2 linked regions of the Oreochromis niloticus genome follow. The protein of the gene in region 1 interacts with the protein of each later gene in a biochemical or structural test. Links are inferred from orthologs where the notes say so. Each region holds a gene or a part of one and is shown in the gene's direction. Other genes may lie near its edges.

Region 1 (9,734 bases):
GACAGGCAACTCCTTGATCATCTCCCTTAAAAGTGTGGTGTGAAAATGCTGATAAAATAAGATGCTGACAAAGTGATTTAGACGCAAATACAAGCCACATCAGTGTAACTTGGCTTTAAAAATTATGACAAATATTCAAACGCCTGGATCCACAGTGTTTTATTTACCTTAAAAGGCAGCATTATTAGCTTAACTCTCTCATCTCATCCTCTAAGATACTGTATGCTAGTCATGTGCCAGCTAACACAAAGCTACATTAGAGCCATAAATACTTAATATAACCTCCAACGTACTGGGTTCTTTTTTTAAAGGTCAACCTTCTAAATCGACTGTACTTTTTTGTTTAGTGCTAATTCACATACATATTAAATATGCTCAACCAAGAAGGAAAGCTAAACATGCTAAAACATTTAGCATGTTTCGCTCATTAACTAGCATGCTAGTTAGCATGCTAAATAGCCTCCTCAAGCAGCTGTTAGCATGGCTACTATTCATTTTAAGTTTCTTCAAGAAAAGATTTGGGTTTAAATTCTTATAATCTCAGTTATAATAGAAAAAATATGTGAAAATCTTTCTTAAGACAAAGGCTAAAACTATTACCCAAGAGTTATCAACCTAAAGTTGAACACTTAAATCCAGTTTTAAAGGCAACATTATATAATGTGTCACAGCCGGATAGAGTCTGTATGACATGCCTTCATAACAGCAGTGAATGTAGTCAAACCACCTGTAGAGTTGTTCAAAGAAGACTTGCAGTTTAACACAGTGAAAAGCATGCTGTGACGGTGTCAATCAAATACAATAATAGGTGCAAATATAAAGACATTTGGTGAAAGGCGCAGTTTGGTCATATATAAATTATCCAAAGTTTTTTTTCCCCCTTCGAAACAGAGCAACGCTAGCTTTTAAAGACTAAGTGGACATTTAATACATCATTCATTCAACGTTATAGCTGCTCACCTCACCTGCTGTGACTCACAGTGCATTCAGAAGCCCTTCAATGCTATATAATGAAACCGAGAGCAGTACACACTGTGAAATATGAGCTTAAGGCCCTAATTTCAGCTGTCAGATTCCCTGAGGTCAGATATTGAGGACTCATCTGTCTGTTACCTTCTCTCAGAGCTCTTTCACATAATGCAGGTTGTAATTTCCTTTTAGTGTAGCGTTACAGAAAGCTGAAAAGACGATGAAGGCAATAAATTGTCGGTAATAAGCTAGCAGGTCGGGTTAGCAATCAACGACTTATAGCAAGTAATGGCACAGATGCTCTCACACATTGAAGATACTTGATGACTAATCACGTTCACTCATATCACAACTGTTGGTTATTGCACATTGAAATTCTGAAATAATATAGCCTAATCTTTCATAGCACGTAAAGCTCTTTATTGATTATATTGTACTTGCAATATACCGCCATTGTCTTGTAAACTCAATTTTCTTACTTTAGTATTACATGTCTGACCCGGATCTGTGCTGAATACCAGAGAAAAGCGAGGGTTGCAGTTCAGCAGTCATTTTAAAAAAAATTCTGTTCAATTGATTTTATTTTATGTCTCGATTGGCTTGACATTTGCCACGGACATTCATGCTCTCAAGTGGCAGAGGGCGATTGATTTTTGGGTGACCCTATGACTTCCCTTCTGACTAAACCCTCCAAGACACAAAACGACCTCTCAAAGTGTCTAAAATCTTCAAAAGTAGCCCCGAGACCGGCATTAAATTCCATCTGCACATTCACATTCCCAACAGGACCAGACTTATTGATTTCCTACGATTCATGTGACCTTTGCTCGACGACAATATCAGGCCAAACTTTCAATTTTCAGTTTTCTGACCCTGAGGAACTACTGATACAAGACTAGAAATACCTACTGCAAGGCCATCATCAAGACAACCTTCTAGTTTTAAAACTCTTAAATCTTCTAGTCTTTTCCTTTTGTTTTGCCATCTACTAGCACTGACCCAACACGCACTCCCACTGTTGTGGTCAAGAAGCTGTATTATAGAGTACTGCAGAAGTACTTAGTGAATTATTCAGGCTAGACCTTTTAATATGAAAAATAAAAGTATGACTTTCAGATCTTTCCGTGAGCTTTTTTATACCGTTTGGGAAAATTTTGTTCCAAAGGCTATTTGAATGTTGATGGATTTATTGGCAATAAATCAAGACAAACAATACCAGCATTCACTCTGCCAATATGATTCAGACACTGAATTTGTGATTCCTTCAGGGTGTTTTTTTTATTACACCATATGACTTCATATAGCAAGTGTGTTTCCAATAAAACATGATATTTAGAAAGTTGTACTTTTCATGAAAATGTGTCGTTTTCGTGCAGTGTAGAGGAAATTGCTGTAAATTTTAAAAATGTTGTTGTATAGCTGAATCACAGCGCTCTTGAATAATCACTCGTCGCATTAATCTCTACAGTCTATTGCAATCAGGCTGTGTGAACGTAAGTGGTGCAAAGTACTGTGTATTAGCTTTCTGCATACTATTCACACAACATATATGTTGGTAATAGTGTTAATCATGTTAACATGGATATTAAGTGTGCCAGTACCTTTGTTACTGTTATCACAGTCACATATAGTCACATAGATAGACTTTGGTCCCAACACAACCGGGAGTTTATTATTATATGTGTAAGATTATTGTACTAGAAATTACACCAACTCTAATATTAATCATAATAAATTGTATAAAATGCAGAACTGAACAACTGACTTGAACTTTCTTTTGCTCAGAAAATGTGAAATAATAATAATTTCTTTCAGCAGTCTTCAGGAATAGTTCTCCAGGCCTCTTGAAGGACATTCAAAGCTCTTCTTTGGCTCCCTTTTGTTCTGTTCCCCGTCAAGAGGATCCCACATCACTTTAGTAACGTTGAGGTCCGGGCTCTGAGGAGGCCAATCCATGACTGATAATGTTCCACTGTGTGTTTTTCTATCCAGGTATGGTATTACTGCAACGGCAGTGTGTTTGGGATCATTGTCATGTTAAAAAATGAAGTCAATCAGTCGTTTCCAGATGGTATTGCATGGTGGATCAAAATCTGACTGTACTTTTCTGTGTAATTATGTTTCCAATTCATTGTTTCTGTAAATAATATTTGAATCCCTGAACATTACTGACTGAAATGCAGCTCCAACCCATCATAGTGCTTCTGTTGACAATGATTTGAACCCAAAATTTCAAATGTGGATTAATCTCTCCATAAGACCTGTTGCCACTGATTTTCAGTCCAGTTGTTGTGTAATTTGGCATATCTCAGGCTTTTCTCCCTGTTTCCCTTTCTTAAGAAAGGCTTCTTGACAGCCACTCTTCCACTGAGACTATTTCTGATGAGGCTTCAGTAACAGCAGACGGATCAACTGAAGGTCCAGTAGCATCTCTCATGTCCCGTGTCAACTCTTTGCTGTCTTTTTCACACCTTTTTCTTAAGGACATTGCTTTCACATACTCTTCATTTGCAATAGATAACTTTTTAGGTCTGCTACTTTTTCTTCTATTCTCCACTTGTCCAGTTTCTGAGGTGCTGTGCCAAAATATGCCACGTTTTCAGCTAATATCTCTTTGGGAATCATCCTGTTGATGCAAAAATACTGTTTGATGCCTGTCAAACTGTGTTATCCTCGGCAGTATTTATAGAGTCCACTAAAGAAATGTGAACAAATCATCTGTTTTTGTGCTAGCAATTGTTCCTTTGGTAAACTGTCTTTTATGTGTATACACAGCACTGGTTGACACTCCCTAGAGTTAGGCGCCTTTTTCATTTGTATGTCATGGCTCTGATTCATAAGTTAACGTTAAGTCACTTAACACTGACCAATGAATCATTCAAGCTTACCTGAAAATGAGTAAAAAGCAGCCCGTGACCAAAGATAAACTTTGACAGACCTTCAGAAAGCCTGGAGAACTACTGCTCAAGGGCAATAAAACCTGGCTCCTTGGAAGCAAAATATAAGGAAATAAGGGATGATTCGTGACTTTTGCAAACGCCGAATTGGTCCAAAAAACAGTTAAATGCAGCTAAAATAATCCTTTTTCAGAGTATTGAGAAAAAGAGATCTGAATCCAGTTATGACAGATTTAACTAGGCTGTCTCAAACAATGACTAATGCTGAAGGCCTGTGACAGGCAGGTATAAAAATATAAAATGCTGAAGCTGCTTAACACTGAGCTAAGATGTTTTTTTCCCCCTCTCTTCCTTTCTATCTTGTTTCAATCTCTTGTCTTTTTCAGCATTTGGCTGAGTCAGACCTCCCACATAAAAGTGGCTTATTGTCAGAGTAAGAGGGGAGTTACAGGGTGGATAAGCAGGGAGGTGGAAGTAAAGATATAAATGGTGAAGGGATTTAGTCAGTATCAGCTCCCTGAAAGCAGCTTGTATCCCTCTCCCTGTTGGTGAAATGACTTCTTACAGACTGACCCTGTTCTTTCCTGCTCTCCTCTGAGGTCTTGATCCATGAAAATAAAAGCAATTGTGGAGAGGGCAGAAATAGTATTAAGAGGCTTTCTTGACCAGCCAGTGCCTAATAGTTGCTTTTCCTTTGCAACAACGTGGAAAACAATGCAAATTACAGCACTACTACATTTCTGTTGTGCTGCTAGATCTGAGTCACAATTAACAGATGACAAGTTCTTTTCTCGTGTCTACTAAATGTTCTGCATATTGAGTTAAAATCACATCATCTTGTGAAGTAATAAAAGCACAGAGTATACTGTTCATTACACTTAAATGCATATTAGACAAATATCTAGCTTTTGCATGAACTTGTGTGGGTGGCAGCATGAAGTATTCATGCATAAGTGTGTGGGTGAGCTGTATGTGGTTAACAAGCTTGCAGTGCATGGGAGTCATATTTAATTAGAAGCATAAACTGCCCTGTTGATTGGACTCTCACACAAATGCTTTGGATTGACTGAAAACCGTTCCAACAATTCGCTGAATCGTTTATAATTAGTGCAGCATATAAAAAAATGCAGAGAAAATATGAATTATTAAGACAAATACATCCCCGGGCTCCAGCCATGGTAGGGATGGGCCTCACGGTAACTTCAATATATGTAATATGAATGAGAGCAATATTACGCTTCCTTTATAGTGTATTTTATGCATTTTAGAGACTGTGTTTGCTCAAGGGCACTTAAACAAATACACTTCTGCACCTGTGATTCACGTTCAGGTCGCTGAGGTCAGGTGTTCCTCAAAAGTAATAATTTTAAGGGCCAAGTTTAACTGCCTCAGACAAAATCGCTGGGCTGTGTGTGTTTGTCTCCCAGGCCAACTTTTTTCAGAGAATAACCTTCTGTGAAAGTTTTGCCGTGATTTATCTGTAATTTCCTGTTGTTTGCCCCATGAAAGCAGTTGGAAAGCTGTTTTCTGCTGTCTTTTCTCCACTTAAACGTCGGTTTATAGGCAGGCCAGGTTAACCCCTCATGCCCCTCTGTCTCTCTTGTTACAGCATCTATGCCTTCTCCTGCCAAAGTGCTACCCGACTTAATAGACTGGTGAAGAGGGCCAGCTCCATCCTGGCCAGCCCCTAGACTCCATAGAGGTGATGTGTGAGAGGATGCTAGCCAAGATAATGTCCATTATAGACAACCCCTCTCACCCCTTCCCAAATTTCACCCAGCAAAGACTCCGATCTGGCTCACTGGACAGCTTTGGAAAATTTGAGGGAGGCCATAAAGTTTCGACTTTAAACTGTATTTTGAAAAGTTTTACAGCTCTTCCTAGTGATAAAGACATCCCTTGTTTTCATTAATAATACACCAAACTAACACATAAGCAATTAAATAACAGAAAGATTCATGTTTTTTAAAAATCTATATAAATTTCTGGGGGTTTTCTAACAGTAATTGAAACAAGATCCTTTTCTATTAAATAACCCCCCCAAAAAGTGTTATAATCACAGTTTAATCTGAGAAATGAGCTAATTTTACACATTTATTTCTTACAATTTATATTTATTTCATTTACAGGAGCAGGATTTCTCTGTTCTGCAGACAAACTTCAGTGTACTGTTGAAATTGCACTTCTTTTTAAGTGTGCATTTAAACTGATTTACACAGACGGAAAAGGGGGGTATCACTGATCCGGGCTCCTTAAAATCATACAGTAGGCTCATAATGTGGCCCGCAATGTAAACCGAGTTTAACATCCCTGCCCTAGTTTAAGTTTATGTGAGTTTGCTTTGTTTTTGGGACTTTAGCTCTGGCCCTACACGGCAGCCAGGGCTTCTTCCATGTATGTAGGGCCTAGTTGTCAGGGCAGCCAGCAAGCGGCGCTTCAGCCCCAGCTGAACTGTCGGTGCGGCTATCGCTGGAAGTGTCCACAGAGGATCGAGTTACTCAACGCCCCATCTTTAAGCCCCAGTCAGTGCGCCGTTAGCCGCAGGACAACAGAGGATAGCTCAAGATACTGGCCGCCGGGGAAGCAGAGCGTCCACACTCATGTAAGTGACTCTCTTTAAACGTGTTTCGCTTGAGGAAACGTTACTGAAGTCTCGAATGTGTACTAACTTCAGCTTTTCTCAAGCTAGAGACCCCCTTTGTTAGCTTTAATGTCGCTAATTAGAGGAAAATATTGTGAGACGTCTTCTGTAGCGGTTGGTCACATAACCACACCAGACTGCCTTTAAATAGATCCAAGAGGCTTTTTTTCAAGTAAAAGTGTTTATATATACTACAAGAAGCCAGCTTGGGCGATTTCCTGTGGCCGTACAGAGCCCTGATAGTGTGTAACTTCTTTCCCGTCTCCGCGTCGGAAGCCTGTTGCTTTCTTGCTAGATGAGATGGGGAAAGAGGAGGAGGAGGAGGGGTTGAGAAAATCGGATTGTCCCGAGTGCCTTGTCGACTGTATTCAAAACACCACCGAACCTGGGCAGAATATACCAGCTTTAAACAAATACGACGTACTAAACGCTTTATTAACAAGAAATAACACGGGCATAGTGCTAATTTCTTTGATTTTGGAGGAACTCCGCGATAAAATAACAGCGTTTTCTTATTAGCTAATTTTACTCACCACAAACCTCACAAATGATTATTTTCGCAAGGAAATGCTACCCATGGAGCTAAACTACTTTTTTTGGAGGCTGATATCTACTGTGTAATAGCGGCTAATGAGCTCCTCCGGCCTTCTGTGATTCATTGCATACCACTATAGTGTGTGCATCCTTAAGGAATGGTAAAGCTACTTTCAGACACTGAACCACATATGTCATTGAAAAAAAAAACACATATAGTATACTACTGTTGCCACAAGTGACTGTAAGGTGCGTGTGAAGGCAGATTTACTACATAAATACATCACTACATGAGTGAAATACACAGCTAACATACTAGCTCATCACTCAGCATAAAGGGTAGGACACATGCAGTGATGAGTGAAGCAAATGCATAAACAAACCAGAGCTGTGGTGATCCTTTTGCCACAGATACTGCAGCTATTCTGAGAGTCTATACAGGGCTTTTAATTGTCTGAGCAATCTCCTTTAATCGTGTAATGTCTCCCTGAGTCATATCACGCTTGCTTACAAAGCCACTCTCCGCAGCCAAGTGTGATGTTCCCTGCATGGGCTCTGTTAGCGAGCACTCCTTAAAAGAATTAGTCAAATACAAACGACATGATCACCTTCATCATGCATTGCTGTTAGCTTTTAAAGCTTTAAAGTATCAAGGCACTGGGAGTCTTTATGAGCTTATTGGCACTGGCTTTGTTTACACAGTAGAGGAGTCACTGCTCCTTCTTTCTCTTGCCTTTCTGATTTGATTGCATGCACTTTGAAGGTAACAGGGTTTTTTCCAAGGCAACAGTCAGTTTCACAAAGATATATTTTTTGACAGATTAGATAGAACAAATAGCCAGACTTCAGATAGATGTTTGAATCCACCCATTGTGCAAAATGAGACTTTGATTTCAAGCACAATGGTACAATGAAATATTGGTAAATTAAGACTTTTCCAGGTAAAATAGTCAGAAATGTGTGTGTCTGAAAGGAACAGTGAGCAGGATGACACCAGTCAATAGAAAGGGTGATTTACTGAAGCAGCTTTTAGGGAGTTTAAAATAATAATTATAAATACATGAGCTGATTACTTAATAATCAGGTATGCATTTAGGTAATTTTTTTGTGTGCAAAACATAAGCATTTTTTCTCTTTTGCTGTGTGTTACCGTAGACATTATAAAAGCCAGTGGTAACCACCGTAGTATTGCTGTTCAGTGATATTGAAAAACACCAACACTGTCACTAAAACCTGCCATTAATGTTGCCATAAGACCAGGTCAGTGTGCCATCAGTCTGATATCAGTCTACGATTGATTGGGTCAATTTGGCAATTACATGCAACCTGACTTTGATAAAACAGCAATTAACTGTAATAAATTGTTGATAAACACATATCTGTTTCAGTCTGCAGAGACAGAAACATTTAACTATGTCTTCTGCATTCAGCAGCCTTCCGGTTTTACGGGAATATAACAAGAATACAAGCAGCTGGCAGCCAGTTGAGTTGAGTCCTCTCGCGTTGTGCTCATTGACAGAGACTCAATCTATCTGTAAATTAGACAGCAATTATTTGCAAACCTTTGACAATCTCTCTGAGAGTGATTGCAGTCCTTCCAAGTCAGACTGCAACTATTTGCAGAAAGGTTACCTCGTATCAGGTGACCTGTGCTATCACCTTACCTTACCCTCAAGCTCTGGACAATCACAAGTTTGGTCGAGCCAGTGTAAAGTAAGTTTGCACAGTTAACATTATCTCAGATTGGTGTTGCATGAGATGATCCATCTTGTTTGTAGTCGTCCCCAAAGAATTTTATTTTAGCTAATAAAAATTTATTTTTTGGTGTCGCAGAACTAATACAATATCACCACCTAAATTAGTGCAATACTGTGCTCTATCTGCTCGCCCACCCCCCACTCCTAATATTGACCAACAGTTTAAACACTCATTTATGAGCTAAGTAACAGTGCAAATAAAAAGTCAGTGTAAACTTTTAATTTATAAGGAGAAAATGAAGAACAATTAAATATGAAAATTGTCATGTTAGCAGGATGTTGTGCTAGTTTTAAAGCAGCTTATAAGATTGTTGTGTGAGAGGATAATTAATTATCAGGGTTGTATGAAGTAAGATGATATTTATCTGATAAGAGCAAAATGGATACTCAAGCTTCATCTAATACCGGCTGTATGAAATTTCAGGAATGTAAATTACTTGGTATTTATTCATCAATAAGAGCATTAGTGGAATATAAGGGAACTAAGAAGCTTGAGTAGAAGCGCTTTTCTGGCAGCCGGTTTGTCGAGAGACTCGACAAACTGGGACAGTTCTTCAGCACAATGGTACTCTGATGCACATAGTGAAGCATTCTTCAGAGATAAATATGGACCTAACAGAAATGAAATAAATCTAGTTTCTTTTTAATGTTAATCTTTTGAACAGAAAATGTGTAAGTTGGGAGGAGAACCCAGGAGGAGGATGAGCCATTTTTCTTGCTCTGAGAGCTTTGTGGAAGTTAAAAATAAAAGAAAACAGCGTGAGTTAGTGGTCTAATATTTAGTTCTCTGATTGCTCACAAAAAGACATTAAATACTGAATTTGTCATTTTCAGGCCTTGATGAAGGGAAGGCTACACATTCATCCGACGCTCTAAAAATGATAGAAACAATGGGTAAGTATTTGGTTTTTTAAATTGTTTTATGCCAGGCATCTA
Region 2 (9,363 bases), on another chromosome or scaffold:
AGCTGTGTAAGTTCCTCTCTGAATGTTTGGAACGCATTCCCACATTAAACAACTGATATTTGGATCTCGGACGTCTGTCCATCGTCATTTCTTAGTCTGACCACACAATTGACAGGCTCAAGTTTTACTTTTACACTATAAAAAAGCAGTGATGCAGGCTAAACAGTTTCATGGTAAGCACTCAGAAGAGTCCATCTCTGCAGCTATGGAGGAAATGTTGGAATGAAAAATTTCGAAGAATTAAGTCCACGTTGTTTTGGAAGACAATGCAAGTTACAAGTTTGGGATGCTTTGAGCACACATTGCAATTCGTGGTGAGGGACTGCTAGCACACTGTAGTGGATGTGATGCTGTGGTAGTTGGAAGAAAAATAGTGGGTCATCCTCAACACAGGCATATTCATGTTTAGAGGACATTTGAATGGAGCTTAATATGCCACCAAGAGGAGAGAGTGTGTGTCAGAAAATGGTGAGGACATTCGAGATTAGATTAGATAGACTTGTTGTTCAGTCCATACACCACCAGTGAATGTTAGAAAATACGTTGCCTGGCTCAGAATAGTACAGCAAAGTATGTTGAGATCCAACATACTTTGATGGTAGAGGTAAGGAAGATGGACGAGGTTTTGAGGAGAACTATTTAGATTCATCAGAGTGACATAATGTTTAGCAGTCTTGGAGTCAGCAAAGAAGACTCCTCGGGTGGAATCTTCAAGCCCAAGACACCTGAAACGGTTTTGGATAAAATCCTGAAGGAAAACACTGTGAATCCTGTTCCTCAGTTAGCCACGACAATTGCAAATGTGCCTCAGTGAGCCAACCATTCAGCGCTCAGACAATCCACTGCTGTACTGGAAAGTCAACCAACCTAGATTACCCACTCTGGTTTCTACAGCAGCTAAATTTCTCTGTGCACCTACAACAAGTGTGGAGAGTGAGAGACTCTTCAGTGCAGCCTCTATTATTATTGATGAAAGGAGAAGCAGCCTGACAGCTGAGAAGGCTGAAATGCAGATCTTTCTAAAGAAGAACCTCCCTCTCATGTTAAAGTGGACAAATTGTTACAAAAGGGTTATTTTTTTTCTTTAGGGTTTGGGCAGCTAACATTTTATCATAAAAAAAAAGTGGTATCGTGCCATCCCTAGTTAATAACAAAGGGACTGGGCAGGTAGAGAGCTGAAGAGTGGACAGACGGAAATCGGCTTAAAGGGGAAGAGGAATCAAGATGTTGCTCTCGAATAAACAGAAGCCTGAGACACTGAGACACATACCAGAGGAACCAGTACAAGGTTGAAATCACCAGAATGCTAAAGACAACTTGAACTGAACTGGTTACCACATCACTGCAATGTAATAATCTGGCAATCAGTGAATGAGTCCTTTTATACAGGCAGTGATCAACGGATGTTGCAGGTGTGCCAGCGAGAAGCCAGACTGGTTAGAGAGCACGCCCTCCTGGAGGACATCACACAGCTGGAAAGACCTGTCTGTATTCACACATGCTCACAAAAAATGGGTAAAAGGGGGAGAGAAAGAGAAGACAAGAAAGAGGAACAAAATGAAGAAGAAGAAAGGAGAAGGATAGTCCTGTTAGAGGAGGATAAAAGGGGGAAATCTAGGAGCTGACAGGCACTGATTGACAGCCCAGCTGTAATAAATATCTACTCCCTTTTCAGAGCACAATCAGGTGAGGAGAGTGTGAATCATGCAGAACCCAGATGTTCAGAGGCTACCTTCTGGTCCTGAACACAGGTACTTTCACGCAACAGAGCACAAAAGCAATGTTGGAGGGGAGTGAAACTTGTCCATTACAAGTCATGGTTGTACATAAGGCATTGTAAAAGGTACCTTTTAAAGTGAGCTGAATGGTTCCCAGCATTCCTGGGTTTTAGTCAGACTTCTAAACAGAGATCAGTCCAGAAAAGCAAAACTGCAGAGAGCACAAAAGCCTGTGTGTGTATTTACTGCAACATCACAAATCATGCTCATGACTTTTTTTGTTAAACTTCCTACTAGTATTAGATATTTAACACAAGGTATTAAAATCTAGGTCGATATGTAATCATTGATGTCACTCATGTATCTGAAATGAATTTAAAAAATATCTGAATTGTCTGAGTCATGTCTCATAACTAATGTGTTCCTGTACAATCTAACAGGTCCAATCGTACACATAAGTGGATCTGTATGGCAGACTTTTGTTGTAATGAAGGATTCCTTCTCTGTGCTCCACCTGTGCTTTCAGATGTATCCAGAGAACAGCTGCCTTTCCTCCAAGACCCCACAGAGTGCCCATCAATCTCTAACAGAAGAGTTTGCCCTGATGTCACAACATCGGTTTTCCTTAAGCTCTCTCTCTTTGATCTAAACTGCCATGTTGCTCCCAGAAACAAACACTTGAATAATACCTGCATTTTTATATTGGATTATGTTGGTTAGTATGTTACCCACTACCTCAAGAGGTGTGCTCATTTTTGATCACCTAATTTGCACTGCTTATGGTGGATGTCTTGCATTCATACATTTATGGATTTTTTAAAATTTTAGCATCCCAATAGCAGTGTGCTTGTGGCCTCTGTAATATGTACACGGCTGAAAAAAATGTGGACAGTTTAAACACAGCCTTTCTGTAGATTACAAAGCACTATGAGCTGCTTCCAGATATGAATCTACTTTTTAGATGAATGCCTTATGTGTTTGGAAATGTGAGATTGCTTGTAATGTATTTATATGAGTTAGACTACAGTCTCCTCAGTGCTCCTGCTTAATATGAAGCTTTGTGTCTTCATTTAGAGTAGACTAGAGGATGGAAACCTGCAGTAAATCTGTAATTGACTACATATATGCATTTCAGGCTTTAGCACTCTTGGCTCAGCATTAATTTTTTTGATGAGTTGACGTCATCCATTGACCAATTGAAATTGTGAATGCTTTGCTTTACTTGTGACTATGAGCTGAGTGTTCAAACACCAGCACAGATGGCAGCAAACTAAAATGCATCTGTTCAAATGTATCTGCACTTTCCGCCAGCCAACCAAATCATGTTGTGAAAATATTGGGCAATATTGGCAGCCATCAAAAATCTTCTCGTATAATTCTGGGTGGATGTTTGACCATTTTTCTTGTCAGAGTTCCTTTAAATTGCTTTGTTTCCTGTCATTTACCCAGCTTTTCAGTGTAGTCCACATATTTTCAACATGGTTAAAATCAGGGCTTTGGGAAAGCCTTTCAAGAAGCCTATGTCTGTGAAGGTTGTCAGTCATCCAGGTCATCGTAGTCTAAGGAGCTTGGAAAGAAAAGCGTCTGGACTTCATTAAGTTTCCTTAAAGATGTTTCACCTCTCATCTGAGAAGCTTCTTCAGTTCTAAGAGCAATTGGTGGAGAGTCCCAGATTTTAAGCCCTATGGGAGTGTCCCCAGGAGGGTCATGGACCCCCTATTGATCCTCTACCTAATCACACGAGCCAAGGTGTGAAAAAGGGTGTGGGTCATAATCAGCCAAGGTTTCGGGTGAACCCATTGTGAAGCCTAGCCCCACCCTATCATGTGATTCCCTGAGGTCAAATGGCCCAGGATGTGAGTGGGAGTTAAGGCATCTGGGAAGGGATTTCAAAACTGGATTATAGATGGCAGATAGTTGGTGTCGTAAACCACCACCTCTGTTTAAAGATGGTCGCTCACAGTGGACATACATCACTTCTTTCACTGCTCTTTCAAACCATTTGTCTTCTTTGTCCAAAATGTGAACACTGGCATCCTCGAAAGAGTGACCTTTGTTCTTTAGGTGCTTTTCTTTCCAAGTCCTTAGACCTTTCCAGAAGCCTAATGTTAGCCTGCTTTATCCACTTCAAATATAGTTTTGATGTGTGTTTGGGATAACCGTCCTGTTTGAAAACTGAGCTGTGTCAAGCTTCAACCGTCTAGCTGTAGATTTGAGGGTAAGTTGAATCATTTGTAAGTACTCATTATTTCATCCACTTTATGCAGTACTATTAGCAGGAAAACAGCCCTAGAGGCTTGATGCTATGATGATTGACAGCTGGCAAAATGGCCATAAAGCTCAATCTTTGTCTCATGTGACCAAAATTTTTCTCCAGAAGGCATTTAGCTTGTCCATGTACACGGTTGGAGCAGGTCCTTCTTTGTTGGTTGGCACCTTCTCAATTCATAAAAATGTAAAACACCACCTGGACAATGATGCTGGTGTTCCAGTGGTTTCCAGGCTTGAGTCCTGGTGGTTCCTGGGTTGATCCTGAATAATTCTCTCATCTGAGGGTGACAACTGAGGTCTTCTCCCAAACCTTGGCAGTGTGGTGGCAACATATCTAAATAATTTGAACTTATATACAGTTGTTTAAACTGATGCTCCTGGAATCTGCAGTTGTTTAGAAATGACCCAAAAAGCTCTGACCTCAACCCTATTGAGAATGTGTGTTCTACACTTAAAAGCCCGCTCTGCACCAGGACGTAAACTCATTTAAATGAAGTCTACTAATTTTGCCAAGAGGAATGGTCAAATAGCCAGGCAAGGTTGTTGATGGCTACAGCAAGTTTGACCAGTTGCACCTATATATATTTGTTTTTTTTAATATATATATGTATAAAACACCCAGCACGCCCCTGAGGGCGGTTTATCCTTCAAGCTCGGGTCCCCTACCAGAGGCCTGGGAGCTTGAGGGTCCTGCGCAGTATCTTAGCTGTTCCCAGGACTGCGCTCTTCTGGACAGAGATCTCCGATGTTGTTCCCGGGATCTGCTGGAGCCACTCGCCTAGCTTGGGAGTCACCGCACCTAGTGCTCCGATTACCACGGGGACCACCGTTACCTTCACCCTCCACATCCTCTCGAGCTCTGGATAGCGTAGTGGTTAGACTGCACACCTTTGGAGCAGAGGATCACAAGTTCTTGATTCCTGCCTGGGGCGTCTGTATCCAGTAAGGGTCCTAAAGCTAGACCCCCTATGCTAAGCGAGCCTACCACAGACATGAGAGAGAAAAAAAAAAAAAAAAAAAAAAAAAATATATATATATATATATGTATGTATGTATGTGTATGTGAGAGAGAGGGCTTTGGCATATTGCTGAATATGGTAGTGCTAGTAAAGCCATTTGAAGTGAAGTGAATTGAGAGAGATGCAGGTTTAACTTGAGTGAGAGAAACACAGAGAGAGTGTGAGAGAGGAGGGAGAGAACAGGACTTCGAGATTCAGCAATAAGAAGAGGAAAGAGAAAGCGGCACAATAAATAGAAGAGAGAACGCTTGAGAAAGCGAGAGAGGGAGCATACCAATATGGTATGCGGGGGAGAGACCCTGGGTAAAAAGGGAGAGAGAGCAGGAGATCCCAGTGAGAGAGCTGCAGAGAGAGAGGGAGGGAGAGAGAGGCTGCATGTGAGAAGCAGCGTGAGCGAGTAGAAGCAGAATAGCATTCAGCTCCTGTTCACCACAGAAGACGACTCAACAACTTAACGACACTCTCCTGGAAAGCTGAAAACACACGGAGCCTCTTCAGTCTGCTGATGGGAGAGAGAAAAGAAGTTTGCTTTCCTCCTCCTTTTCCTTCTGCTTCTTTTTTAGTTTTTTCCTTTTTGGAAAGTGACAAGATGTGCAGAGTGAATGATCAAGGTCTGTGAAGGAAGGAGATCTGTGTTTATTCATGAAGGATTTGAAGAGTGACTGACATTTTCCACTGAGGGCTTATGCAAGCACAAGGAGGAAAAATGTAAGGAATATTTAATTCTCTGGAGGTCTGACATTGTTCTTAGTTACAGCAAACAAAGAATACTTTCTTACTATGAGTCAAGAAATGCAAGTGAAGGAAGGAAGGAGACTGGAAAGTTAGTGACACATACTCACACATGTCAGATATCATCATGTTCATCATCCATGTCTGTCGGCTGCCGACGCACTCTCACAGGTGCAGGGATGAGTTGAGACGAGAGAGCGAGGACGCTTGAAGATTTCCACACACATTAGGAAACACACACGTGCAGCATAATGACATCTGTGCAGGAGTGTCAGTTAGGATAAACAAACTCTGAACATTCACACGTCAGTCAGGGTTTGTGTCAAACTGATAACACCAGTATTCCAAGGCTGGAGGTTTTTTTTTATTTGTTTGTCTCCTTAAAGATCATACATTAAAGACTGAAAAGAAACAAAGTTACTGAATAACTGCTTCAACCAGGCAATGAAATTCTGATTTGTAACATTCCCGACTTCACATGGACCTGATATTTTTAACATGAACACAGCCTTGACTTCAAACTCTAAACAGGAGAAACCTGCAACTGCCATCGCACCAGCTTTGAGTGGATTCTATAATAAGAAGAGAAGTTATTTTTTTCTAAATCACTGAAGATATGGGAGTCAAAACAACTCCGTTCTGTTTGGGATATTTTGGGCAACGGAATACTTTTGTTTCTTTGTTTTCACAGAGCCAGATGACGGACTGTGGGCACAGGGAGGTTATTAACCAAGCGAGATATCATTTTTAAGCGTTCGGCATTGTCCTGTGAGATCAAACAGCTGCTCTTCTGGTTGCGCTGAATTCAGCAGAATGCTATTTTTGTTTCCCCGTTGTGAAGATGATTTGTTGATCCTCTGACAGTCAATTCAGGGATTTTTCTTCTTTTTTTTATTTGACATGATGGAGCAAAGAAGTGGTAAACCATATTGAATTACAGGTTAATTGCTAGAGTGATGAACGGTGTTGTATTTATAATATTCAGAGCAACGGGAATGGAAAACAAGTGAGCGATGAACAGACTTTCCTCTTTTCTCCGCCACTCTGACCCACTTTCCAGGCAGCGGTCCTGAGCATTTATCGAGCTGACACCATGAACCTGCATGGTGGCAATGTGTCACAGTTGATCTCTAACACTGTCACAGCCGTTACCACTCTGGGGTCTAACCCCTGGCCTCCACACGAGGAAGGTGGCCTCCAAAGTGGCAATGCCACGAACCTGGGCTGCCAGAGGAACAATGTGGTTCATAATGGCAATGACGCACAGCTGGGGAACTGGTCTCACCATAACGTGGCGGGAGTCTACGGGTCTCAGTGCCCTCCCTTGGAGCAGCTGATGCAGAAAAACTGGGCAGCCCTGCTGATTTTAGTGGTCATCGCTGTCACGGTCATGGGCAACATTCTGGTGATCCTGGCCGTCTCCCTGGAGAAGAAGCTGCAGAACGCCACAAACTATTTCTTGATGTCACTGGCAGTAGCTGACATGCTTCTCGGCATCTTGGTCATGCCGGTTTCCATGGTGACCATTCTCTATGGTAAGCATTGAGTGACACTCATATTGGGCTTCACTAAGTTGACATTTGGTGTGTTGCTGACTCGAGTCCAGCAGGCACAGTGCTTTGTTGTTGTTGGTGTGGGTTTTTTTCTCCTCAAATGAATGAATGGTTACATGACTAATGACTAAACAAACTCCACCTGCCTGCATGTGTAAGGCTTTGTTAAACTGCAAATCATTTCTGAGACATTGGTGAGAAAAGGAAGTGAAGAAATCACATTAAATCTGATGTTTTTCTTTGCATTTTGAAAAACGTATGTTTGCTTTTTAGAGAACTGCTCTTGAAAATATGTCTTATGAGGCAATCCCAGTCTGTGCATGTTAGAATTCATGCATGGCTGTAGCTTGAGGACAGATGGAGAGCAGCAGTGATGGAGGTGTTCGGTGCTGTTGTTGTGAGTGAAGTGTTTACTCCAAGTGCTACTTCAGCATGACAAGAAAGGGGCACACAGAGGTGGTGCAGAGACCAAGTTACTGCAGTCCTTGAAATCACTGTTGCACAAAAATACGGCAGCATGCAAAAGTTTGGACGTCTTCAGATTTCTGTTGCTGTCATGAACACAGGGTGAAGTGGTCTTTAAAAGGCATAAAGTTATAGATAAATACTTTCTTTTCAACATTTTTAGAAAAAAAGGGAGAGTGACAGTAAATACGAGGAATATGATTCAGAAGTTTGGGAGACTCTTTAAGAGAAATGACCTACTATTACCAAGTTGTGTCAGATTTGTTTGTTGTGCTTGGTCACACAGTAGGCATCAGGAAAGTATTGCAGTTTTCAAATCTAACGGATCCCCATTTTCAAAGAGAATGCTATAAGAACAAAGCAACAAGTAGCTGGTCTAAGGAGCTTGGAAAGAAAAGTGTCTGGACTTCTTTAAGTTTGAGACGTTTCACCTCTCATCCAAGAAGCTTCTTGAACTGAAGAAGCTTCTTGGATGAGAGGTGAAACTGCTTGCAGTTCTAATCCTTCCATTTAAGTGCAAAAGATGTTTAGGTGTCACACATGCACAAATATGACCTTCATGGAGGAGGCATCAGAGAAAAAAATACTTTGTTCATCACCATCAGAAATTTCCATGCATTTTGAAAACAAATATTGTGGACTAATATAGTTAAAACAGAACTTATTGAAGGCAATGAGAAAAAATGTGGGAGAAAAATGATGCAGAATTGTTAAATATAGGGCTGATCAGTCACACTTATATATCTGTTCCAACCAGTAACACTATGAGCGAGCAAGAATGAATTTCATTAAATATCAGTGAACAGTAAAATAAATAATGAATAAAAGCAAAGATTAAATTAAAATGTTTTCTATAATCCATAGGTGGAAGCTGAAGGTTTTACTATGGCCCTCATAGTCACCCTGATCAAAATATCAAAAATCTTTTACTTCAAGACAGCTGCACATGCAAAGCAGCCAAGAATTTTCAAAGAACTACAAACCTTTTGCACAAAGGAAGAAAAGGCAAAAATCCTCCCAAACAAGAACTGAACAAATCTTAGCTGCTACAAAAGCTGCGATAATTACTGAAGGGTGAGCTTCTAAGTTCCCAAAGCTTTTCTTCAGACTCCTTTACTCATTTGCTACTTTAAATCTGTTCTGGAAACAGAAAGTTGTTTTTTCTTTAAATCAGGTATAACAATATGATCACTGACAGATGCAGTAGATAACACTTATTATCTCTTCACCATGGCACCTGTTAGTGGCTGAGATATATTACAGAGCAAGTGAACATTGATGGTGAGGGATGATGTGTAAGAAGCAGGAGAAATGGGCCACATTGTGATAGTTAGATGACTGGGTCAGAGCATCTTCAAAACTGCAGCTCTTGTGGGGGGTTCCTGGTCTGCAGTGGTCCAAGGAAGGAACAGTGATAACCAGTGGGTCATGGCCTGCTAAGGCTCAGTGATGCACACTAACTGGTCTGCATTGCTGCAGAACAGTCAGGGTGCCCATGCTGACACTTGTCCACCACAATGGAGAGCATCAGAACTGGACCATGAAGGAATGGAAAAAGGTGGGTCTGATGAATCACATTTTCCTTTATATTATGTGGATGGCTGG

Evidence for each region.
Region 2: the proteins of mpdz (region 1) and htr2aa form a complex in vitro, tested with the Homo sapiens proteins (2 studies listed by IntAct, with this or other methods). The link is inferred for Oreochromis niloticus from reciprocal best matches to the Homo sapiens genes MPDZ and HTR2A.

Annotation. Positions count from the first base shown.
Region 1 is NC_031967.2:13,316,655-13,326,388, reverse strand, and holds the start of mpdz (multiple PDZ domain protein), read left to right. Parts: upstream 1-6,165; 5' UTR 6,166-6,468; intron 6,469-9,632; 5' UTR 9,633-9,676; coding exon 9,677-9,692; intron 9,693-9,734. UniProt on the Homo sapiens protein: Member of the NMDAR signaling complex that may play a role in control of AMPAR potentiation and synaptic plasticity in excitatory synapses. Promotes clustering of HT2RC at the cell surface.
Region 2 is NC_031987.2:29,661,512-29,670,874, reverse strand, and holds the start of htr2aa (5-hydroxytryptamine receptor 2A), read left to right. Parts: upstream 1-5,217; 5' UTR 5,218-6,833; coding exon 6,834-7,275; intron 7,276-9,363. UniProt on the Homo sapiens protein: G-protein coupled receptor for 5-hydroxytryptamine (serotonin).